3 linked regions of the Daphnia pulex genome follow. The protein of the gene in region 1 purifies or fractionates together with the protein of each later gene. This does not show direct contact. Links are inferred from orthologs where the notes say so. Each region holds a gene or a part of one and is shown in the gene's direction. Other genes may lie near its edges.

Region 1 (8,109 bases):
ATGTTTTAAGTTTAATTTGACGGAAGGGATACTACGGTGCCTACCGTACCCCCAGTATTTTGCGCCTTTTTCTCTTTTTCTCTTTTTCTTTCGTAGGTAAGGAAGAGAAGAATATAAAGAAAAAGAGAAAAGGGCGTAAAATATGGGGGGTACGGTAGGCACCGTAGTATCCCTTCCGTCAAATTAAACTTAAAACATAGAGAGCCATTTGCCTGTTCAAGAAACTTTCACGGATGACTGTATAAACACAGCCAATTATCTAGTCAACTCGGTCTACTGTTTCTGTTTAACTGTTTTCCATTTGGGGCGTCCCTAAACTGCGAAAGCGAAACGCGAAACGCGAAACGCCTAAAATGCGAAACAGCTGTGCGAAACGGACCAAAATTTTGGGACCGTTTCGCGGGACCAAATGCCGGAGGGCATACTAAAGAGCGAAACATCTTGCGAAAAAAAAGTTTTCCTTTTCCCACAGAGGTCCAAATTGACGGAGATTGCCGCCATTTTTCATTGTCTCCCGCTATGATGAGGCTTTAAAGGAGGAAGGGGGGCAATCAAATTCGATTTCTTCGCCACTACCCCTGTATGTTTTAATGCGCATCTTATGATTAAACAAATAAAAGACATAGAGCAGCACGGTATGGTGATATTTATATTTGTAAATAATAATATATTAGATAATGGCACAGGGATTACTATACATTACATTAAATTATTTAAATCAACTAGTAGGCTACGTGCACAAAGAAAAATCGGCCATCACGACAAAAATCGGCCATGAGTGTCAATCAAGCTAAAAATCAAAGCTCCCATGTTCCAAATCAAGCTAAAATTTAATCGGCTAAAACTTTCCTTAAAATTAAGAATGTTAATGAGTAATGACTGATACATGAATTTAATTTCCCATTAATTTTTTTATACCAATCTTTTAATTAAAAACACCTATTGCATTCAAGGTATTCCGTATTCATGGTCAACACACAAATAGACCGGCCATATAAGGTGCACGACTGCACGAAACTCGAAGTCTCGAAACATTTAAACTCTAACAATTTGTTTGTTGAGTCCATTGTCGTCTGCTACCAAGACGTTTACACTGCGACGTTTCGCACACACCGATTTCGCAGTTTAGTACGGACCCAAAGACTAAAATGCGAAACAGGGTCCCAACTTTTGGGTCCGTTTCGCACAGCTGTTTCGCATTTTAGGCGTTTCGCGTTTCGCGTTTCGCTTTCGCAGTTTAGGGACGCCCTTCCATTTGCACTTTGTAGTCTTCATTCGAAAGCGTTCGAAAGTAAATGAATAATTCTCTTCCATCAACCAGCGGCCATCTATGGTAGACTCAGGTAAAAATCTATGGTAGATCCTCAGGTAAAATTAATTAACTAATTCAATTCCACATTGGTTAAAGAAAAGGGAACTGAAGCCTGCGAAGCCTGCCTTAATATTCTCTTTGCTCGCATTTTTTTTAACCATCTGCACTGTTGTTGTCTGCTGTTTGATGTCTGCTGTTTGATTTATCGATAGTATTTTGTGTTGCAGAATAAAATTACAGAAATGACCAACAACAGTGAAGAACAACAGACCTCATCTTCCGGGAGACCATCATAGAGGAGACCATCATAGAGGTGGTAATTCAAGTCCACCAACTCCAGAGGCAAAGGTTGAATCTGATGCTCCCCTTGCTGTGATCACCACTCAGCCAGCACAGCCAATGCCTGAACACGATGACAGCATTACTGTGGTCATGTGGGAAGCCACCGTTACTGGTCCATCAACCAGCAGCCATCAATGGTAGATCCTCAGGTAATTAATTAACTAATTCAATTCCACATTGGTTAAAGAAAAGGGGGACTGTTCTTGAAGCCTGCCTTCATATTCTCTTTGCTCACATTTTTTTTTAACCATCTACACTGTTGTTGAATGCTGTTTGATTTATCGATAGTATTTTGTGTTGCAGAATAAAATTACAGAAATGACCAACAACAGTGAAGAACAACAGACCTCATCTTCCACCGAGGAGATCATCACAGAGGTGGTAATTCAGCCACCAACTACAGAGGCCAAGGTTGAATCTGATGCTCCCCCTGCTGTGATCACCACTCAGCCAGCACAGCCAATGCCTGAACACGAAGACAGCATTGCTGTGGTCATGTGGGAAGCCACCGTTACCGGTTGACGCCTCATCGACGAGATGGTCAACCTGGGATCATTCTACGTGGCACAGGAAGAGAAAGCAGAAGGGCACAATTTCAACGAGTACGTCATGGATCATTCTACGTGGCACAGGAAGAGAAAGCAGAAGGGCACGATTTCAACAAGTACGTCATGCCGTATGGCAAGCTACCGCTGAATGTAATTCGCAACTACAATCTTTGCGGGTCGTTACCGCATGCTCAAGGAGATCCACAACAACAGAATGCTCAAGTCCAAGAGCAAGGTGGCCGCCTGCAATGATTTCGCCTCGTGGCTCAACAAGCTCCAAAAAGATAATTTCACCGACAAGAAAATTGTCTTAGTCTTCTTTGAACCACGCCACTCCCAAGATCCTTCAGCTCTTCCAGGTATATCGCCATTTAGTTTCTATTTTTAGACTCGTTTCTAACTTTCAGTTTGTTTTAGGCTTTGGAACGTTACCGTCTTCTTGATGATGTCAACAAGATTTTGCTTGGATGTGTTAATGGCTGGGATCTGCTCCGTCAATAGGTAAAAACTGAAATAGTAACACGTGAATTGGTTAGATTTTCTAACGTTTCAATCGAAATTAGGTGCATGATTTGAAGGATGAACATCGCATGGTCCTTAAAGCTTTGGCTGATCACCACCTTGGAGTCGACACACCTTTGGAGAGCGCTGTTCAACGTGCTCAATCAAGCACTTCACAAGATCCTTCGCAAGGTGCATGGCGGCCGCATCAACACTAGGGTACTTAAGGAGAACCTCATCAGTTGCGATCATTTGCTCGAACAAGTCAAGAAGATCAAAGAAGAATTGACTAAGGAGGCTCAATGGAGACCTGTATTCGCTGACATGTTTCGTCAAGGTATCAAGCCTCGCCGGCGAGCTGGATTCCTCCGCGATATGCTCGTCGAGTCGGGCATCACCTATGCAGGCCTTACGGAAACATTCAAGGTGAGTTTGTTTTCTTATTTTCAATTCTTAACCGGATAATTGAAATTTCTTTTGCAGGACAAGAAAGATGACGGTGTGGTCGAGGTCATCAAAGAGAACATCAAAGGCAAGAATGAAGCCGACGTGGAGGAAGTCAGCAAGCTGCTGAATCAACACCTTGCGCAGCCAGACAAGCCCGTCCGACGCGGTAGCGGCCGTCGAGCACCCCGCACTCGTTCCCTTTGCACTGCCACGGACTTGGAGAAGCAGCAGCCTGCGTCCAAGATCGAGCCCGAGGAAAACAACAACGACCTTGTCAAAGTGATTATGGATGTTATTCCCAGCACTCCTGCGGTCCTGTCCGAAGTTTAAAAAGTCCCTCTCTCCTCGACTCGCCTGAAATTACTTACTGCCTCCCGCCCCACTTCCCTTTTGTTTTTCACTTAACTTGTCTCGTTTTTTTGAAATTTTGATCTTTTTTTAAGTTTACAAGTCTTTCACGAAACAAACTTGCTTGTCGCTTTTAGTTATGCTTTTCTTCTTACCAGAGATAATAACACTTGCAAAATTTATAAATATACCAGGGAGCTTTTTGGTAATTGTACTAGTCTTCTACTAAAATCAATCCAGGGTGTATGTGTGCGATGAAATTGTCTCTGCAGTGCCTTTGCAGTGCCTTTCATACTTGTGAGTTGATCTCATGGAATGGAATACAAAATACTCTGAGGAAATTTATTGTCTTTTTTTTATTTTCTTCTCAAAAAAATTCGTATTCTTCATCTCTTATGCAACTATCGAACATTTCTTTTAAGTAGGGATTCTCTAAGGCGGCGGCGACTCTTTCCTTATCGTTGATTTGTTTATTGACTGGATGGGAATAAGAATATTTTATGAAAGCTTTTTTGAACATTTAAATATGGTATTAGGACTTAGGCCTACTCTCTTCTTCTGTGCTGTGTTTACCCTCTGCAATAACTATGTCCAATTTGATCCTTTCCACCACATTTTTCTGAATCTTGCCTCTCAGGCAGAGGCCAATAAGGCTGGCAAGTCGCAAGTGAACAATGAGGAACTGTAGGATTGAAATCTATTCTAACCAAGTAACCGTATTCCTCAAATGGTTGTATGATTGTATTTTATATTACAATAAATGATTGTATGTATATGGTCAAATTGTTGGACCATTCCTATCGGGAAACTCGCGCGCGCAGCAAGGGATCGGATTGTGAATTGTGAATAAGTCCGACTTAATCGTAGGCCCTGAATTTGTCATTTAAGACAGTTTTCAACTGGCTTACGGACTATCCCTTCGCGGCGAGCTGATAAGCTTGCTTTTCTATCTTAGAATTTTCGGTCGCAAAAAGAATATCTGGCAATGTTGCTAACCAGACGACTGTAGCAGACGAAGAAGTGGTGTGCTTCAAACTTCAAAAAAGTGTATGTATTTCGCTGCTACAAACGGCGGCGGCGCACCATATTTTATCAGCAAAATGAATATGTCTGGGAAAAAAACGAACACTTCTGGATCTGATGGATTTCAAAGACTTAATTTCCTATATCAGGTATACTTTTCTGATACAGTTTCATAAAATAAAATTTTAATTTGTAAATTTCCTTCTAATCAGGCATCGATTGTGGCCTTGAATGCAGTTCCTCACTGTCCACAGATTACTTCGGTATTTGGCAAGAATATGATTAGCATCGGAAAAAAACTTCAACTAAAACTGTAATAATTACATTTAGTGACATCCTTGCTTATTAGATAAACTGATGAACATGTACTTACTTTCACTATTTTCGATCAGGGACCACTCTGTAAAACGAACAATATGTAAAGGATGTAAAGTTCTATTGATTCCAGGGAAATCAGTAGAAGTAAAAATAAAACCAATTCCTGCTTCCAGAAAAAGAAAAAGTCGGCGTGGAAATCAGAGGAAAATTCAGGAATGGAAATGTATGCTCTGTAGCTGTGTTAAACAGTTTGTTTTGAATCCTGGATACTCACTGTGGGCCGAGCAGAATATGGATTCCACATAATAATTTAAAAAAAAAGGATAAATTATAAAAAGAAAATTCTATTGAAAAAGAATTTCCCCCACTCAGAAGTTGTTATGTGTGTCTGTGTGATACAAATCTCATGTTAAGAATGCAAGTCACATTCTAGAACTGACCTGCTGTCTTGAATAAAAAGATTATTTTACTATGTTAGCCTCAATCTATCGTTTTATAACTACAATTTATTTACAATCAATATTTACACATTTTGGATGCATTTAACTTCTGTAAACCAAAAATATGAAAAAGGATTATACTCTTTCATTCACGAGGAAATTCAAATGGATATGTTCCTTTAGCTCTCAACCCTCTCATCCACGAGAAATCGTTAAACGGAGATTTTCCTTTAGTTGTGTAGCTCCCAGTCGGATGTTCGACGTACGTACCTGCTATACGACCTACTTGAAGTTCAACACGTCTTGAGATTGCGCAGCAAATTCAAACTTGTAGATTTTGGATGTGTCAGATCTGATTGGGTTCAAATTCCAGCTCTTTCAGATCCTTCACATGACAGAAAGGAATGTAAGGGAAAGACAGTATTGTTGGGAGCCACATGTGAGCTGGTGCACTGTATCGCCTTTGCACCCGTACAATTATTATTAAATTAAAGATATTATTACATTTTTTATTTGAAAGAAAAATTCCAATTCTTTACCAGACGTGAACTTCAACATCCTCGCCAGAAATTGCTTTAGAGTAAAAATGCCCTTGATGACTTCAACGAATGACGAAATCATGTTGTTGACGATTTTAGTTACGCAGGCGCTGCTGGTCAAACTAGCAAATTGATAAACCCATAGTTAAATAAGTAGCCAACGAAACCGCTGTAGAGTCGGTGGCAGTGGTATCCTCTTGTGAAAGAGTTCATGTATATCATCATTGTGAAAGATGTTATCGAATAATTGCGCCTTTTCTTCTTGGCTTCATTACATCGCCACCCGGGAACACAATTCCACGGCGTATTTGGCCCAGGCCGACCGAAAAGAAATGCACAACGCAAACCCAACTGGAGTAAAGATGTCAGTGTTATCCACCAAAACTCTTTGCGGCAATCCCAGAGCAAAGATTCGAGAAAGTTAAACAAAAAGTAAGTTTCCATTTAGAATAAATTGAAACAAAAGTTGAGGTGTATTTTGATTACGTAAGGGCTTCCGGAAAGTTTTCCAACCGGCAATATTCCGCCATTATATTGCGATTGCACCACTAGAAGAAGAAATGTTTTTGCTCTTTTATTGATTTTTAAAAAACTAAGTGATTAAGATGAAGTCGACATGATAAATGTTTTGAAAGGGAGTAGTACCGTGAGATCAACTTGATGTCGTTCGCGGACTAACATTGCAGCAATCTCGCGAGTCGTCCTCAGCTTTCATATCAGCTGGTAAGGTTCACCCGACTAGGCCGCCCGACTTCCAGCCGGTCCAGCCGCCAGGGTCTTTGCCCGCAGAAGTCCAGTTGTGACGATTCGCCGAATGAAATTGAGTCAAGTTATTAATGACAGTTTCTTCGAAAAGCATCGCAATCTTGGTAACAAGCCTTATTCCTTAGAATAGAATGCGTAGACTGTTGGTAGAAGAAGCCAGGATGTTGAGTCTGGATTGCCGGAAGTACTATAACTCACTCGCATGCATCATCCTCAAATAAAATGCCGACCGTCGAAAATCTAAACAAAAGAATTCATACAAATATAATTAAAAATCATTTTTTTTTAACAAAAGCGTTATTTTAATTATACTGGGCACCCAACCAGGCGTGGTGTTCGAATTTCCTCAAAGGGTTCCAATCTTCCCGATTCACAGCCCAAAAAAAATCCATGGGCATGACTCCTGAAATGGGCGATAGCTTCGCTATAGGAAGATTGAGCAAGAACGAGAGCCGCCAGACTTTGAAACCGATGTAGCCTATGCAATCTTCACTTCAGTGACATTGGCATCTATAATACGAAGCTCTAGTAAATGCGCCATTGTAACATACTGCTTATAAGTTCGTGGTAAAATCCGATTTTAAACTTATGTCTCACAAACAGGTTGACGCCGTGATTTTTATTTGTATGTCATGTTCAATTAGTCGCGGTGGGAGCGAACAGCAACGGCCCGCGATGAGAAATGATTATTGTGCGCTTTGGCTTAGTTCATAAAATGCGTTCTCTAACCTGTTTCGTAGTATAATGTATGCAGTATTTAAAATAAAGTTATACCTCAAGGTACATCCCTGTAGATAGCGCTAGATGATCGTTACGGCAAGGAAGGACAAAGAGCGCTTTTGACTGAATGATTTAGCCTACCGAGTTGTTTGGATTTGCATGTTTAGTTTTCCATGCAGGATCGCCCCACTCCAAATCATAGAAGGGAACCAAGACACCTAGAATCTGATTCAGGAGTTTGGCCATCCATTTTATTTTCAAGATGCCTTTAGGAATGTATCATTCATATGACGTTCTCGAAACAGCCAAACAGGTTCGGACAAATGACAAACCCTTATCCTTATGGACTAATTTCTTGGCCGTGGCTCTATCATCCTCTCTATATACCATGCCGACAGCGCCGACAGTACGACATGTTTGCTAATGCTATCCCTATCCGCCACCGCTTTAGGCAACAGACAGTTGCTCAGATGAGTGGCCGTGAATATAGTAGGCCAAGTTTGAGCAAATCAATTCTTTGAAAATAATTCACTGTCAGTGTAAGTGTCTGTGTGTGTCAGTGGAAAAACAAAATTTTGTGTTTTATTCTGGATTTCAGGATGGCTGCATTCACAGACTTTATTAGTCCGTCATTTGTGGTTGGATTATCTTGTGGAATCATATCATCAGCATTGCTTTACAAATTGATGAACAGCACAAGCCCAGGATACATAGTAAGAATTGAGTATTAATTTTGAGAGGGTAATTCAAAAACAAAAATTTTACTATTGCATTTTTTTGGTTTTTAGGACGAGGAATTATCATAT
Region 2 (8,254 bases), on another chromosome or scaffold:
TTTTTGTATGTAAAATTTTGGTAGTCTTGTAACCAAGCATTCTATTCACACAAAAAACTTATTAAAATTGTTATGAAAGATAGCGGTAGCTATTACATACCTAAAGTACAAATTCTTTTACTTCGGAACTAAGTTTTATATTTAATTGTTGAATATTTAGATGAAGTGTATGAATATAGAACACAAGAAATACAACCGAATATTGAAAAGTGAATTGCATTTATTGTTATCCCACCTCCTCCCACAATTCCTCCACGTTTTACAGTCATGCACATACAAGTTAAACACAATATGCAATACATAAACACAATATATAAACATACACATATACACAAATAGTTACCCGTTGGCTGCCACGCCATACAACCCGTAGGTTGTTTTTCTACTACTCTACGCGCCATGTCATAAGGATCCATGACCAAGTGGGACTTGCCATTGCTGACAAGTCCGGGCTGACACGGTGATAGGAGAAGATGGAATGCACAACCTCTAGAATCCATCACCGCATCGACAAGGGGGAAGTCCCTATGGTGCATTGCCTAACGGGGCCTTTCGGCGAATCTGGGGCTGGTGCGACTGTTAGACCCCATGGCATATATAGACCACAAGATCAAACAGCGCGGGCCCGTGCTAAGGAGCTAACATGGGGAGAAAAGGCGTGGCAGACAACGGATAACTAACAAAAATTTTAAATACCAGTAACAAGTGATAGTCCACGTTGAACATCGTGTTGTAGGCCAATGTCATGTTGCAATTTTCTTTCGGACGCATAATTGCACGATCTTAATATGGGTTAAAAGAATAATTAGAACAGCTATTAGCACATAGCGAATCTTCAAAATATTATATCTGCTTAAACAATTTACGTTTGATAGGCGTCAATGTGGAAAATATCGAAGTAATCAGGCTTTCTGGTCGGGTCTTCACTTTCTCACCTGAAAATAGTCATAGATAATATTGCATTTAATTTCAGAATATTGACAATAAGCACATGACATCCCACTTTTACCTCCATTTGCTGTAGGCACTAGACAGACTACCTATTGCTTATACCTATTGCAGCTCTTGGTTGATTAGTTAAGTGCAGGGCACCATGGAAATTGTATTTCACAACTTCTTAACAGCTCCACACATTCAGAAGTGTGACACACGAGCATCAATATTCAGTCATGAATAAATCTGTAGATAAACAAAAATTATGAGATGGTTGAATTTTGATCTACGCACCATTGTAAAATCATAAAATCATTCTAACCTGCTGGGCCACAAAGATGTGTTCTTGCAGCAGAAGAAGTGAGTAAAAGGAACACTCAGTAACTTGTTGTAGAAGTAGACTTAATATTCTTGATTCGCCATGGTATGCTGTGCATGCTTCATCGTCACCACCAGAAGAGCATGGCGACCGTAGAACTCCAAAGACAGAAGAACTCCACCGACACTAGAACCCCAATATTTTAAATAATTTTTAAAAATTTCTTTGAATGCGACAGTAGAACTACAACGACTGTAGAACTACAACGACATTAGAACTCATTTTTAAATATTATTAAAAATCACTACGCGACACTTAAACTCCAATTAATTCTTTAATTATTTTCATGTTAGACAATAGAACTCCATTGAATTTGAAATATATTAAATGTCCGACAATAGAACTCAAACAAAAATTATTCGAATGCCCGACAGTAGAACCCCACTTTTCTTAAAATATGCAGTGCGCAATTTTTTTATAAGCAAAACGTTTGCTTATAAAAGATTTTGTTTTTCAAGAGGAAAGAACAACATGAAAGCTTCTATAATACCCGCTATTTTTGTAATGCATCCGTGGAACGTAACTTAGCGACCAACGCCAAACAATCAGCTTGGGATAGCTACCTTGTTGTTACTAGGTAACGCAACAGTGGCAGACAAACGCGTCAATTCTTGTGCATCAATGTAAAAAAAGAAAAGATTCGAAGGGTTGTCTATTTAAAATGGTGAGCAAAAATGAACCAAAGTCAGCTGGCGGCGCTAAAACGGGAAAACCGGTAAGTTACGGTATTCCATTTCTTTCTTAAGGGACATTTATAAGTTTATAACCTACATAAAATGACACGACTAGGCGAAAGGAGGCAAAGGTAAAAAGACTGGGAAGAAGAATGTGTCCCATCGTAGTGCTTTACTTCTGGATGGATTACCAGTATCGGAAATGTCAAGAGATCAGCTTCTCAATCACTTAACTAGACTTCTTGATCAACTGGAAAAAGAACGTGAAGAGCGCAATTTCTTTCAACTGGAACGTGATCAAATTTATGGTTTCTGGAAAGTCGCAAAAGAAGAAGTTGAGGATACACGAGCCCGTCTCAGGTATTGAATTACAGTGTTCTAAGAAAACCACGAAAGATTTACTTGACTCATTTATGAATAGGAATAAAGAAAAAGAGTTAGACGACGCAGAAGAAATACGACAAAAGGACATAGCAGTGTACAAGCAGCAAATAAAATGCCTGCTTCATGAACACCAGACAACTTTGGCTGAATCGCGGGTTTAGTTTTACTTTTAAATAAAGTTGAATGAAAACAATAACTAAATTCTTTGTTATATAGAACGAGCAACAAACTGCTTTAGAGCAAGCTCATTTGGAACATCAGGAGCAAGAGCAAATACTGCGTCTAGAACAGCAGCGTTTAAAAGAGGAAATACGTCAGCTTAGTCTTCAACAGCAACTTACGGTCGATAAGATCAAATTGGAGCACTCGAAAAAAATGAGCGAGATGCGTAAAAGTCTAGAGCACGAAGCTAGACAACTTGAGCTCAAGTTCCAAAATCAGACGGAAGCGCAAAGGAACGAACTAGAAAAGCGAAGGAGGAGCGATTTGCAAGATGTTGATACAAAAGATCAACAGCATTTGGCCGTACTGAAAATCAATCACGAGCAGGCAATAATAAATCTGAAAAACTACTTCAACGATATCATTCTCAACAACATGACACTTATCACCTCTATGAAGGTAAAACATACTGTTGTTTTTGTAGAATCGTAATCGTAAAATTGAGTATCCTAATGGCCAGGAACAATTGTCCGAATTTCGTGTTAAAGAAGAAAGATTGGAGAAGCAGTTTCATAGGACTGATAGAGAAATAAAGCACCTTCGTGAAAAATGCGAGCAATTGGAGAGAAGTAACAAAGAATTGCAGAAAGACACAGAAAACTGGCTGCACGCTAAAACTTCTCTTCAAGTATTCTAACGTTACAAGCATTTTCTACAAAGGAAACAAATTGTAAAATTGTCTTACCTTTTAGGCGGCAAAGGGTCACGCTAAAACAATGTCTAAGCAGCTTGAAGAAGCAGTATGGCAACGTGAAGTAGCTGAGCAGCGTTTAGCGCGAACTAAAACTGAACGAGATGAGTTGGAAGAAAACTTTATGGCTGCCATACTGGAGGTGCAACAGAAAGCTAATTTGAAGCAACTCGTTCTAGAGAAAAAATTGTAAAATAATTCATTAGATATGAGAAAACAGATAACAGCTTCTAATTTGTTGGATTTCAGAGAATCTTTACAAGAAACTCTCAAGTGTAAGGACAATGCTTTGAAGCAATTTACCTCGCACGGTCCGGGTTCAAACGGTGATGGGGGTACAAATGCGTCTGGCGAGACTGTAGTAATTTCCACACTTTCACTCACACTTTTAATCAGCAAATTGTTAATTCACATTTTCTATCTGTACAGTCATCGTCTTTGAGAGAAGGGAGGAAACAGACAGTGGTTAAAATGAATTTTGAGGCACCACACCACGAGGAGCTTCCAGATAAATCATTTCAATCTTCCAATGAAAGTTTAGCAGCTGTTGAAGAAAGAATCAGCATCAAATCTGGTTCTGTCAAATCAGTTGTAGGTTCAACAAAGTCTACATCAGCAGTTCTGGACATCAATGGTGCTGGTGTTGGAACCAGCACTCAACGAAAACTAAAAACAGCCAACTGAACAAAAACAGAACAATCTACTTCAATTTAATTACTTCACATTTTAATTGTTATATTGTTTCTTAGTGTTCTAACTGTTTAAAAACACCGAAATCAAGCGTGATTTTCCTTTAACAAGTGTCTGTCAAGTTGGTAAACAAATAAATTTGCGTCGCTAGAGGGACAGAAATTCGTCTGCTTGATTCACATGCTTGCTTCGTTTGTGATTTGTGATTTTGTTTCAAAGCACGTGACTGAATTATCAAAAGATTTTCGAATATATAAAACAATGAACACTGTGCAAGGTTTCTGTGATTTCAATATCCCATGTCCATGCAGTCCTACTACAACACTTAAAGAAGTCGTGTTGAGAGCTGTCAAACGTAAATGAATTAGTTAAAATCCTGCCCTATTTCGTCGTTTTCACCTGTTCTGTTTTCTTTCAGTTGGTTATAGTGCCATAGCTATTAACACAACAATAGAAGAAGATGTTTTAATCAACACCAAGAAAAAAGGGAACAAGAAAAATGAAGTAAAGGAAGAGAAAAAAGATGTTCCACCTCCTCTAAAACTTAAATTCACCGAAGAAGAGTTGAACTTATTTAAAGTATTGTAAAATGAAACTATGGATTTGATTTTATATTCAAATTTACCTCTTACTTTAGGTCCATGGGAAGAATGTTAAAATCTTACATCGGTTGACTGTCATGCTCAGTGACCCTGTGAATACACAGAAACTTGTGAGTACTCCATATAAATGCACTTTATTTGGGAATTACTGATAAGCATTTTGTGTTTCTCAAAAGATCCAATCGGGGAATACCAAAAAATCTGATTTGATAGCTGTCTGCCCAACAACTACGGCTGCTTTTCTAGTATTTTATTTTTATCTTTATGATTGAAATCAATTTTATTTAATTATTTTTTTTAATAGCATGCAGCAGCCAACATGGATATAGACATAATCACCTACCATCCGACTGAAACCAAAGAATTGCTGAGATTCACCAGAAAACATTATCGCCAAGCTACTGACAGAGGAATATTTTTTGAGATTCCCTATTCACATATGCTTAGAGATTCGTCAAATAGGAAAAAGATTATCCAGATTTCACATTTGTACCATACAGTTGGCAAATCCCGGGTGAGATTTATCTATTTCAAATTCAGAATGACCAAATTTTACTATTTGTGTTTTGGAGCCTTAGTTGTTTATTACTATATATATTCAACTCTTCCTGTAGAACGTCATAATCAGTAGTGGAGCTCTTACACCATTAGAACTTCGCAATCCTTACGACGTAGCGAATTTGTAAGGAACACATTGTTGATACTGCTTATTAACGAGACTAAATAAGTCATTGCATATTTTAGAGGATTACTTCTTGGATTAAGTGAAGGAGAAGCTAGATCTGCTTTAAATTTGAGTGGACGATCCGTTGCACTTCATGCTGGTATATATTCCCTATAAATTTCTGCATTTAACTTTACACTTTTACATTTTTCATTCGGGAATTTCCAGTGACTCGAAAAACAGGAAAATGTGTCAGCTTTATTGCTGAAACTGACAAGTTGGATCCAGAGGAACAATGGAAAGCTAAGGAAATAACTGACGCGGAAGAAAGACTTGCGGGAGAACCAGAGCCCAAAAAGATGAAAATGGAAACTGCTTAGTTTAATAGTCAAAAAACGAAATTCGACAACATCTTGCACTTACTTGTATTCCATTTTGATCAATAGATTATGGCTGAACTACATAAGAACAGAAAATTTGAAGTTACAGCTGCTTTTGCGGAGGGCTTTACATGTTGCAATTATAGATCGATGTATCGCACGTCATAGACATTCACACTTTCATGCAAACAAAATGTTGCCCTAGGTATAGAGAGCCTAAAAGCTACCTACACAACATTAAATCTTAATAATCTTCTCGTTTTTGAAAGATCTTTAATTTCATATTAGCACTTCAGGTATTATATTGAATGACAATCAAAATTAAGGATATGTCAAGTTCTCTGTCACAAAATCTAAAACGGTGCTGCTTAGAAAGTACTCAATCAAATGAATGAATAAATTTTGTGTGTATAAAATAACTCAACTTTGTCCCTTTTGTCATACGAGGAGACGTGAACAGTTGGACGTAAAAAGTTTTCAGATTCTTGGAAGATCTAGAAGTTCAGGACCTGTGGGCTGCATGCGGTCAAATAAGTGAGGAAGAAAGAATACAATGAATCATAAAAATCGCTTGAAATTTAATTGGCAATGAATTCGTTTTGTTATTGGTTTTTTGTCTAGTAGACCCATGAGACGGGGACCCATTGATGCTGGTTGGAAAGAATTTCCAATGCTTCAACCACTTTGCGAAAAGTTTGATCGGGATCTTCATTAATAATAATCTGATCAAAATATTTCTCGTAAATTCGCTGAATACGAGCACTCTCTTCCAAGGCGTTTTTGAAATCCTCTTCCTGTAGAGCAAAATTTGAAATAATTAAATTGATTGGGGACAAACTAGATTATACGACATGCAAAACATGTACGAAAATAAACCTCGTATAAAGATGTCAGGGATTCGAGAGTACGTGCTCTTCTCGAACTGAAACGAATGGAACTGGAACGATCGAACTAGTTAAACCAAAAGGGGGAAAATGGGGTAAGTTACACAAACATAAACACATTTAGAAAACAGAAAAAAAAAAATAGAATTCTAACCGTTCCCAAATTCCGGCTGGAATATCGGGAGTTCTCGTAAAGACTTTTCAACTGGTCCATTCCAGGTGCAGCTAAAAAGATGACATAAGGCATGAACTCTGGTGAATTGTGTAGAGTTTTTAATGCCTACATGAAATGCAGAGATAATAGAGCTTTGCTATGGTGTTAATTAGTCAATATGTTATTAAAGAAATATTACGTTCGGGCTGCAGTCAAGAACGCACATTTTGCCCTGGCGGATTACGGCGCGGATGGTATCTAACTTTGTGCCATAGATATGATTGTTGTGCTCTCCAAATTCGAGAAACTGATGATCACGGACGTCGTGTTCCATTTCTTCGCGCGAGACGAACCAGTAGCCCATACCATCCTCCTCCAATTCACGCATCGGCCGGGACGTGTCTACAAATACAACATGTTTAATCCGTGCGTATAAATGCAATCTGCGATATGAAGAAAATTTTTACGAGGCATGGTGGTTCCAAACCGATCAGGATCACTGTTGATCAGCCGGTTCTTTAATGTACGTCGCCCGATGCCTTCCGATCCTACCAGTACCAAAGTCTTCCGACGAAACGGTGGCATGCGAGTAACCTCTTCGTAAAGGAGTAGCTCGGCTTTATCCAAATCAACACTTGATTTGATTTGGTACATCAACTTTTTTTTCTTTTTTGAGATCTGTTAATGGTTGTAAATATTACAATTATTGTTTGCTGAATTTTAACGGGAAAAGATAACGTACCCTAGTTCCACAGAAGCCAATTTTATGAACGAAATCTGCTTCTGGTGCCACAAACGCTTTGCGACGTTCCTCCAGCTCTTGTGAAGGAATTAAACCAGCTGGGCCACTCCAGCCCACCTTCTTTGCTTGCCACCAATTGGGATCGCTTTGATTCACAACCTGTAATTGTAACATAAATGATTCACTTGAATAGATCTTGTAATTTTTAAAAGCATCAAATTACCTGCAAAATATCTCCTTTTTTGAAAGCGAGACCAATTTCAGGACACGGGAGGAGCTTATCATCTTTAGGATCATAGTCAAAGTGAGCTCGAACGCAACACTGTAGGAATGGATAGATGATTATTAGTAAGAATAAGGTTAGGGTCACTCGTTATCGAGTTGGGAGACAGACGACCGTATAGTGGATAAGTGAGTCGAATCTGCACCGTTAGACGCGGGTTGTCCAAAACAACGCGAGAAGAGAGGTTTTGCTACAAGTGTGAATAAAACTAGACCCAAGGAAGTTGGCTACAGACATTCACCAGACGGGCAGAATTACCGGCTCACTTACCACGGACACGCTGTTGAGAGTCTCGGAAGCCAGGATTGTGCTAGGCGATTGGCCTACCTGTGCCCCATTCGAACCATTCTCTTGGAAACTTGGTAAGATTTTCAGTTGAATGTGTTCTCTGCAACGTGCGATTTCCACCTGAAACCGACATGTAATAAATAAACTCCTGTTACTCGAATTTCAAAACCATAACTTATTTTCTTTCATTTTTACCTGCAGCTGTTCTGCCGACCGAACAACAATACCGTTTACTTCGCCAATTATGTCACCAACATGTAGAAGTCCCTGGCGATCTACCGCTC
Region 3 (8,853 bases), about 3.7 Mb from region 1:
TAAAACCTCTTCTACTTTTACTTTTACTTTTGCTTTTGTTACTTGTTTGACTCATGTTACTTGATTTGTGACTTTGATCAGAAATTACTGAAGGGCTTCTCTTTTTGTTAGACGCGTCTTCTTCGGAAATCGACTTGTCGTCGTCTGTCTGGCTAAGCACGATGGTGACGTCGTCATCAGTAATTACATTTTCTTCGTGATTACCAACTTGGTTTTCTTCGATGTCGGATATGATCTTGTCTATTTTCTCCGCTAGTTCATCTTTGTCGGATGACTCGTGCAATTCAAACATTTTAAAACAAGTTACCGTAGTGTGTAAACACTAAAAAGAAATTGTCTAAAAAGATCAACCAACACTTTCCAAAATTCTACAAAGATTCAAGAAATACTTCGTCTTAGCTTAAATACGAATTTAACGAACTAACCATGGAACTAACTGTTGAACGACTGACTCATTCGGCCATTTTGGACGCTATGTCGCTATCGGAAACTTAGACAGTTAGACTAATCAGCAACCCAGGAAGCAGTGAAGCCAAGTATTTCTTTATTGCTTTAAAATTTTAAAAATTGCTGACTTTTTCACGCATAAAATATAATTAACTTATGATTCAATGAACTATGGAACAAATTCAATGAACATTGAACGTACCCTATACAGTGCCCATGAGTTGTCTATAATGTTTTCCTTACAAGTTGAACGAAAACTGACTGAAACTCGCGGCCTCGCGGGATTTCGCGAAAATAAGTAAAACACCATAAGATGATCAATTTGGTTAAGCTGTGTAATATCTCGAAGTTTCAATTTCAACTAAAAAAGAACAGCTTGAGTTGCTTTCATGTATCGATTTGAACCATAACTTCTCGAGCTACATTAAATAATAACTTTTTTTTTCTTGAAATGAAAAACAAAAATTCTAAGGGAAACTAATCGTCTTAAAAATAAGGGGAAAATGTTGCCACACACGGTCATCAACGCAAAGAATTTGGACTTGATGCACAAAACATCTCTTCGACCAATGAATGGAGCATTTTTTTCTTTTCAGATTCATTGTTCTCACGTTCTTTCCATGTGGCTATCTCCGATTCCAAAACCTGAATTTTCATCATGGTGGCATCCAAGATCCTCTTGTTTTCAGCGAAAATTGTAGTAGTATTCGTGACGATTTTAAGAAAGTATTCAAACCTAACAGAAACAAAATTTGAAAATCGAAATACGGAGACAAATACTGTATTATTGTAGACCTTTCTTCATAAACCGAAACCAGTTCACGCAATCTGAACTCTTCGCGCTGTATTGCGTCACATCTTAGCTTGCAATCATTTAATTCCTGTACAAAACGAGATTAAAAGATTATATTTCTACCAGGGAAATAATAAGGACTCACGAGTCACGACTCACCATTACAAGCTTCTCTTCTTTTGATACAGTTGCTGGACTCTTAGATATTTCCATACGATAAATTTCTGAATCCTCCAAGTTTTGTTTGTGGTCTTTTTGTTTTAAGTAAGCAATCTCATCTAAAGTGGTAATAAAGAAGTTTGAATTATACTCAACATCAGAACCTAAACAGGAAAGTGTTCACCTTTTAAAGAATGGCAAGTTTGTTCTAGCTTAATGCAGGACATTGTCTTTTGAACATTCTCTGCATGGAGTTCCTTGATGAGCTTCTGCATATGCTGCACATCTTCAAGAGAAAATTCCTCTGGTGCCAATTTGAACTAAAAAATTAATCATCAATTACTAAATATGTATCTTTATGTGTAGTACAAATTGATGATTACTTGAGTTAAAATTCTCTTCTTTGGGGTAAATTGTTCTTTTTCCATACTAGAATTTGGGGAATCACTACTAACTTGTTCGGCTTTTTGTTGGTTATGTAATGGAGTTGAACTCCATGTAGGTAACGGAGAAGAAAAATAGCTCTGCTGACCCAAGTCAAAATATTATGTATAATAGACCATTAGGTTACTTAAGTTGTGGTGATGTTTAACATACCGAATGCTGACTTTCACCTTCGTTTTCCTCAGAACAAGTCTTGTCATTGATGCTGATCTGCTGCATTAATGACTGAAGCTGAAAATTCATTCTTCTATTACTAGATTGGACGACAAAATGAAAAAAGAAAATGAAATCATAAAAGAATCATGAAGACCATGTGTACAACAGAAATTTTTTTGTTTGGTTTCTCACCAATTTCCTACTGAAACTCTTTGTTATCAAGGTACTTAGTATTCTTTTAGAAATGTCAGCAATTCGGTAAGAGATAATCCAGTTATTAAAAAACCCCAAAGACCAAAACGAGGTTTAGGCCGTCAAAGACCGTTGATTCGGTGACTAATGGCAGTATGGCAAGTGGAGGATGGGGGAGGAGGAGCATAAACAACAAAGATGGCGCAATCGCGCAAGGGTGTCAATAGACCTCTTGCACCGTGCGGATAGCAGGATTCTTGTAGTCCGACAATGTTGCAATCCGCCATCTTAATAAAACCACACCCTTTTTTTACATGGGCTCTTATGGGAGTATTTTTTCAAAGTGCTTTTTCTCTTACCTGGATTACAACTTCGACCAAAGAAAAATATGGAAAAATACTACATCATTCAGGTAATCCGTAGAATGTAAGTTTTCCACTATTGAAGTAGTGGAAGTCATATTAATTAAATGTTTTGTATAGGGCATATGGGCATTGTTTACATATGTAGGACCAAAACATGTATAGTATACTTACAATTTTTAACATTTTCCCACTGAAACACTTGGTAATTGATTTTTCCTTATTATTTAGATTGTCGTGTGTGTGTGTGTGTCAATTTTACACTGAAACACGATACGGAAAACAAGTTAATGTTGCGAATTGGAGATTTTGAACTGGAGATTTTGTTGCATCTGCCATTGCTGTGTGATTGTGAAGACAAAAACGTTCCATATGTCATATGTGTTTGTCCGTTCAAAGCAAGGTAATTTTATAAAATTATTAGTTTAGATGTGCTATAATAAACTCATTCTTTATTTAGCACTTGGACGTGCTTGTGGAGTCTCCCGTTCTGTTATTGCAGCTTGTTCTGTGACTGTACATGAGGGATCATAACCGAAACCACAGATTCAGTCTTTACAACAAGAAATTGAAAAACTTCTCGTTTGATCTCTCTTGAGGGACAATGCTGTGCTTGAAAATACAATTGCCATTTGGCTGTTCATTGCCTAACATCTCATCTTTTACATTAATCTATCAGGTTCTCCATTCCATTTTGTAGATTTTGATATAGAATGTGCATTTCAATCCACAACAAATATGTACAGCATATCGGATTGTTGTTAAAACTATTACATTCAAGAGTTAACCCATAGAGTTCCTTCTGTGTGAATTATTAGACGTGCACTACTTGTTTAATACAATTTTTAAATGTTTATTAAGCAGAACTTGAGAAGAGATTAGGATAAAAGACAAGGCCTCTAACAGTATCATCTCTACAAATCAATCCATTTCTTTCCATGAAATAAAGACGTTCTTGTGCCAACACAATCGATATTTGGAATTCCTGTGAAACCTCCAATGCTGTGAGTTTATCCCTAGCCTGTAACTAAAAAAATTTGAATATGTTAGGATTGCATTAAAGAAAAAGTAATGAATTTCAATAGAAGTATCAATTTGGCTGTGGGTTTAATAACTGTTATATTCATGTGCAACAGCCAGGACCTAGATCAGAAACAGCAATTGAGTTGAAAGTGTCGACCTCAGAATAATGAGAATATGAAATCATTAAAAATACATATCAACACGATACTGGCTATTCAATCAGGAGATCAGCCCATTAATGAGCTCTTAAAATTGATCGCAGGGCGCAGAAAAGAAGAAGGACACCCTTTGACAACACACTTGTGATAAAACCAACTTTGAAATTTTAGGGGATGCCCTGTACAAAACATTTAATTAATATGACTTCCACTACTTCAATAGTGGAAAACTTACATTCTACGGATTACCTGAATGATGTAGTATTTTTCCATATTTTTCTTTGGTCGAAGTTGTAATCCAGGTAAGAGAAAAAGCACTTTGAAAAAATACTCCCATAAGAGCCCATGTAAAAAAAGGGTGTGGTTTTATTAAGATGGCGGATTGCAACATTGTCGGACTACAAGAATCCTGCTATCCGCACGGTGCAAGAGGTCTATCAATTCTGAATATTCTGATTTCTGAATTATTAAAAGTCTGGGTAAGTAATTATTGAGTAATCTCTATGGAAAATAAGATTAATGGGTTAAATACTTATAAAAAGGAAGAGATTTTTGTGGGAGCTCGGAGGGTGTTTAAAGGAAAAGCAAGCTTAGCGGGTACAGTATTTTCTTTTTGTAGACCTTTTCCAGATGATTCTGATTAATGCAATTATCGTAATGCAGCAAATTGATCACTAAATTGAATGCTTACATAGTGGTCGTTATTCATTATGCTACAAATATTCGGTTAATCTATTGTATCGTACAAAATCTTCCAGAGTTCCAGACTTCATTAGAAAATCATTAGAAAATTATGAATTTTCCACGTAACTTCTTCTTTGGCCCTCTTTATTCATTGCCTAGGTATTTTATATCATTATTATAATATAGTCGACTTAGATAGTTTAAATAAACCGCGTAATGATAGTGACGCCATCTATAAGCTTTGAGATAAACTATCGATAACTAAAAACGTTTTCGCTAGATGGAGTAGGAACTGACTAAAATAGTAAACAAAACAATTACAAACCACACCGGATCGAAAACTTCTTCTTTTTTCGTTGGAATTAACTTTCAAATACTTCCTGAAATGTACAATCCAGAGGTAATAAATTTTCCTCCACCAAAATCCTTGAAACAAACATGCACATGGAAGAAAGACCAAATACTTAATAAAGTGCCTTCCCAAGACCTAGGAAATCATTTTCATGGGGTAAGAGTGAAACTTCAATAACTTTTTACATTATTCTAATAGAGGAGTATTCTTGTTACAGATTACTGCAATCTTGTCTGGGGAAATTACTGAAATAGCTGAAATTCAAGACTTCTTTTTAGACTCAACATTTTACAGAGTTAACAAATTCCCCGTTCATAAGTTGCTGGACCCTGATTTTCTCTCTGCATTTGTTAAAAAAGGACATTTTGATGCCAGAACTTTAGGAACATGGGGTGAAGTTGATCAGAGTATTGTTGTTGAATCAGGCAAACTTCATCTTTCTGTCTGCAAAGATGTGTATCAAGAGCTAGGGTTAAGTGGCCAAGCAGAGGTAATTTCATCCAAAAAGTGTCCTGCTAAATACGGTAACTTAATTATTCACTGTAAATTTTTTCAGTTTGTTAACATTGTATTTGGTTTTCGTAGACATTTCTGTTAATCTTCTTGATGATAAGTTTTCCCCTGATTCTAAATACTACAAAAGAGTTAGTTGGTGTTTACAAAATCAGACAAGTCTACAATTTGATTGGATCATGAATTGGCATCCACACGGTAAGGCTTTTCTTAATAGTGGAAATTGTATCAAGCGTTGACTAATAATAATGTTTTTACCACAGATTCTGACATCTGCCCATCTTCCCTTGCTGCTTACCTCGACTTGCTTGGCTTTCAGGTAGTTCAGTGTCTGCCATCCTTTGAAGAAAGAATTTTAAATCAAGTAAAGGTTCCACTGCTATGCACTGAAACAGACATTTCAGATGTTGTTGAATGGGTTGGAGCTGCTGCATTGAATATCACATGGTAACTAGATATGCTTTTAGAGTAAACTGAGATATTACATTCTTTGTTTTATTTATCTAAGTCCTGACCAAGAAGATTACACTTCTTCAATGACATGCCCAGAGCCCAGTTATAAATCTGAAAAGGTTCACATCTTGAAATGGAAAGGATTTTTTTCTGCAAGACAGGCAAAAGAGTTACTCGGCGTGATTTTGAAATTGCGACCAGAAGCAACAGAAAACTCTGTTCAATCATGGCTTAATCTCACTCTCATTGGATTTGATGAATTCCAAATAGGTGTGTTTTATTGGCAATCATGTTAATTTCACATATTAATTTATTTTTAATTTTCAGCATCAAGTATTTGCTCGGTTTTTACAACGGCATCGGACAACTGCCAAGTCTTTACAAACCAGACATCTAGAAGGAAAATCAAATGAATTCAATTCGACTTTTGTTATTTCATCTTCTGTAAAAACACATCTGAATAAATTAAGTCAGATACTGGATCGATTAAAACAAAAAATTAATCTTTTATATCTGTACCTCATAGTTGCTTACACATGCAACTGCACTCCGGTATCACTCGAGTTTTGCCATTACAAAAAGGAGGGAAAGAAATGTAATAGCCATGTCCTCAAACAGCCTAAAATTCTGTGTCGCAAAACAATTTTTTCATAGCATTACTTAATGATTAGAACTTAAAATTGCGTATTGTTTATGTTTAAGGACTGAATACGTTTTTAAAAGAAATCAAGCTTTACACAGCTGCAAAAAACGCGGAAACTAGTTATTTCTACCGCAAATTTTTACAAAGAACGTTTTCACTGAACGACGACTGTGTATACTAATAATGACATACCTTTGACAAAAAGAGGGCCATGAGTCAACAGCTCAGTAGGAAATTCAATCAACAGCTGTCGGTGCACTGCTGCGAAATACCTTGAAATAAAACCACAAAAGAAAAATATTTACCACATGATTATTCGTAACAGAAGTTTCGAATCCTCTCAGACCGCACCAGTCTCGTATGGAGTTTGTTCCTTTCAAGGAGATACACCAGCTGCAACTGTGTAAAACGCAACCAAGTCAATATGTTTACGAAAAATTGAATGATTTAGTCAAAGAGCCTTTTAAACCCATAGCGAATCCTTGTCGCTAAATCAGTTGGGAAAACGGAACCTTCCGACTTGGGGCCATCGCAAAATGGCTCCACTATCGACAGCGTTATTCTATATACTAATTTTGTCTTTTACCTGGTCGAGTTGCGCAGCTAAACTCACGTTAGAAGAAGAATTACAGCAACTGAAGGAAAGCTATGTAATAAATCAAAAATGTTTTATTTAATTAAATTTCATTTAGGTTAGCTTTAATGTTAAAACTATTTAAATTGCAAGGTTCACCTAAAGCAACTTATGGATATCAAAATTGTTCAACTAGAAGCTAAAGATGCTCAGTTAGAAGAACTTTTGAGACTAAAAGACCAGAAACATGTAAGTCATCGCTTTCACTGTTAAACCGGATATTAACGAACTATAAAGATTGTAAATCTAAAGCAAGGAATTGGGAATGCTCCTTCAATCAACAGTCAATTAACCCCAAGTAACGCTACTATGAGACAAGGACTAGCAACAAAAATGCCCACTTCCTGCTTGGATCTTAAAAGTCTAGGACACCAATTCAATGGAGTGTACTCGGTAATGGGAGCTAAGTATGTCGAAACAGTCTACTGCGACTTTTCCAAATTAACTTTCGATCCCAGTAAGTTCATCCTCTGATATAATACTTTGATTTGCTCAAAAGAAGGAGCATTGGAATGACTTTTATGATTTAATTAATATAGGTTTTGAAACGCGAATTGGATTTTCTGATATCAAATCTACACCGACTTACTTCTTTGTCAGGAGAAACAAGAACGATGTTTTCAGTCAAGCAAATACAACAATTATATTCGACGAAGAACTAGTAAATGTGGGCGGAGCTATGAATACATCAACGGGGAAATTCACGGCAACGACAACAGGGACTTACTTTTTCAACCTGAACGGATTGGCGTGGTTTCCGGAATCTTCTTATAGACTACTCCTCTACATTGCGCTGAAGTTAAATGGCAAGGACATCACATATTGTCACGCTAATGCGTTCGCCCTAAGAGGCACATGGAGAACCTTTTCTCTGCCATCAACGCTGAGGTTGAAAAAGGGCGACCAAATTTGGTTTGAAATTAATCAACTCTCCACCGGTATCTATCTAAATGGTAGGGGTTACACTCATTTTACCGGTGGACTACTAGAGGAGGAAGTATTTGCGTCACTATAAATGGTCTGCTTTTCAATTGCTGAAACTGGAAATATATTCGAAGATTCAATTGGTTTTACTTAAACACATTATTTATTAGTAGTAATAGAGATAGATCATGAAAATCTTATTTGATCTGTTAAAACAAAATTGCTTCGAATATTGTTGGTGACTTACTTTGATTGTGGTTGATATTACTGTTTTCTTGCTGGCGGGCTTCCCCAATTACTGGCCGGGCAGAACTACAATCAGTTCGTTTATTTTTCAAATTACGACGCGTTCCCGCCAACTGCAAAAGTTCGATCCCGCGTTTCTCCCGACATCGGTCAGTCTACTATTCTGGCTCTGGTGTCTTTTACTGCATGCCTAAAGAAGTTTAAAGGTAAAATTATTTCAGAGAAAAAAGAAATACCAATGATACACATAATGCACACGAGAAAGCACGAAGATTTAAAGTTAAAGCGAGTCAAATACTTATACCTATCTTATGAATTACAATTTTAATATTAAAACCCAACCGTTCTAGTTTCCGCTTGAACGACTAAACATTTCAGTTGTTCAGCTATTCTGAAATTTGTTTTAATCCAACTCGCTCATCGACAAGTGCAGGACAGTTGCGTTCCGATTATTCCCATTTAGTGCATCTGGTGAAATCGTTCATGCGCGATCCTTTCGACGCGTGGCGCACGTATGCACAACAACAACAACAACACGAGTGAAAAAAAAATGTGTCATTGCGACGTACGGGTTAGACTTGCTGATGAAAGATAAACCTTATCCGGTTACCGGTCTCGTTTTTAAATAGTCTCCTCCCCCAGGGCAATGCAAAGTTGTTACTTGGTTTTA

The links. Proteins that work in one complex are often made in the same cells at the same time.
Region 2: the proteins of ribonuclease P protein subunit p21-like (region 1) and ribonuclease P protein subunit p30-like purify together in Homo sapiens (co-immunoprecipitation; 3 studies listed by BioGRID and IntAct, counting the BioPlex papers as one, with this or other methods). This does not show direct contact. The link is inferred for Daphnia pulex from reciprocal best matches to the Homo sapiens genes RPP21 and RPP30.
Region 3: the proteins of ribonuclease P protein subunit p21-like (region 1) and ribonuclease P protein subunit p40-like purify together in Homo sapiens (co-immunoprecipitation; 3 studies listed by BioGRID and IntAct, counting the BioPlex papers as one, with this or other methods). This does not show direct contact. The link is inferred for Daphnia pulex from reciprocal best matches to the Homo sapiens genes RPP21 and RPP40.

Annotation. Positions count from the first base shown.
Region 1 is NC_060026.1:4,901,085-4,909,193, forward strand, and holds ribonuclease P protein subunit p21-like, read left to right. Parts: upstream 1-4,498; 5' UTR 4,499-4,547; coding exon 4,548-4,670; intron 4,671-4,733; coding exon 4,734-4,834; intron 4,835-4,913; coding exon 4,914-5,145; 3' UTR 5,146-5,323; downstream 5,324-8,109. Other genes in the region: uncharacterized protein LOC124206086, read left to right, coding at 2,782-3,129, 3,187-3,480; peptidyl-tRNA hydrolase 2, mitochondrial-like, read left to right, coding at 7,903-8,016, 8,092-8,109. UniProt on the Homo sapiens protein: Component of ribonuclease P, a ribonucleoprotein complex that generates mature tRNA molecules by cleaving their 5'-ends.
Region 2 is NC_060018.1:994,118-1,002,371, reverse strand, and holds ribonuclease P protein subunit p30-like, read left to right. Parts: upstream 1-4,652; coding exon 4,653-4,685; intron 4,686-4,751; coding exon 4,752-4,820; intron 4,821-4,879; coding exon 4,880-5,089; intron 5,090-5,189; coding exon 5,190-5,257; intron 5,258-5,319; coding exon 5,320-5,399; intron 5,400-5,467; coding exon 5,468-5,619; downstream 5,620-8,254. Other genes in the region: dynein regulatory complex subunit 4-like, read left to right, coding at 1,974-2,027, 2,102-2,346, 2,408-2,525, 2,587-2,991, 3,053-3,220, 3,285-3,472, 3,533-3,644, 3,713-3,967; uncharacterized protein LOC124188900, read right to left, coding at 6,237-6,413, 6,496-6,570, 6,658-6,783, 6,857-7,059, 7,125-7,335, 7,400-7,558, 7,623-7,721, 7,953-8,090 and 1 more. UniProt on the Homo sapiens protein: Component of ribonuclease P, a ribonucleoprotein complex that generates mature tRNA molecules by cleaving their 5'-ends. Also a component of the MRP ribonuclease complex, which cleaves pre-rRNA sequences.
Region 3 is NC_060026.1:1,151,952-1,160,804, forward strand, and holds ribonuclease P protein subunit p40-like, read left to right. Parts: upstream 1-4,702; 5' UTR 4,703-4,803; coding exon 4,804-4,926; intron 4,927-4,987; coding exon 4,988-5,294; intron 5,295-5,355; coding exon 5,356-5,481; intron 5,482-5,546; coding exon 5,547-5,730; intron 5,731-5,791; coding exon 5,792-6,006; exon of another isoform or gene 6,007-6,063; coding exon 6,064-6,149; 3' UTR 6,150-6,218; downstream 6,219-8,853. Other genes in the region: bromodomain-containing protein DDB_G0270170-like, read right to left, coding at 1-292; beta-taxilin-like, read right to left, coding at 970-1,183, 1,243-1,328, 1,400-1,518, 1,584-1,719, 1,783-1,926, 1,997-2,086; uncharacterized protein LOC124204677, read left to right, coding at 2,462-2,603, 2,674-2,712, 2,785-2,956, 3,014-3,077. UniProt on the Homo sapiens protein: Component of ribonuclease P, a ribonucleoprotein complex that generates mature tRNA molecules by cleaving their 5'-ends. Also a component of the MRP ribonuclease complex, which cleaves pre-rRNA sequences.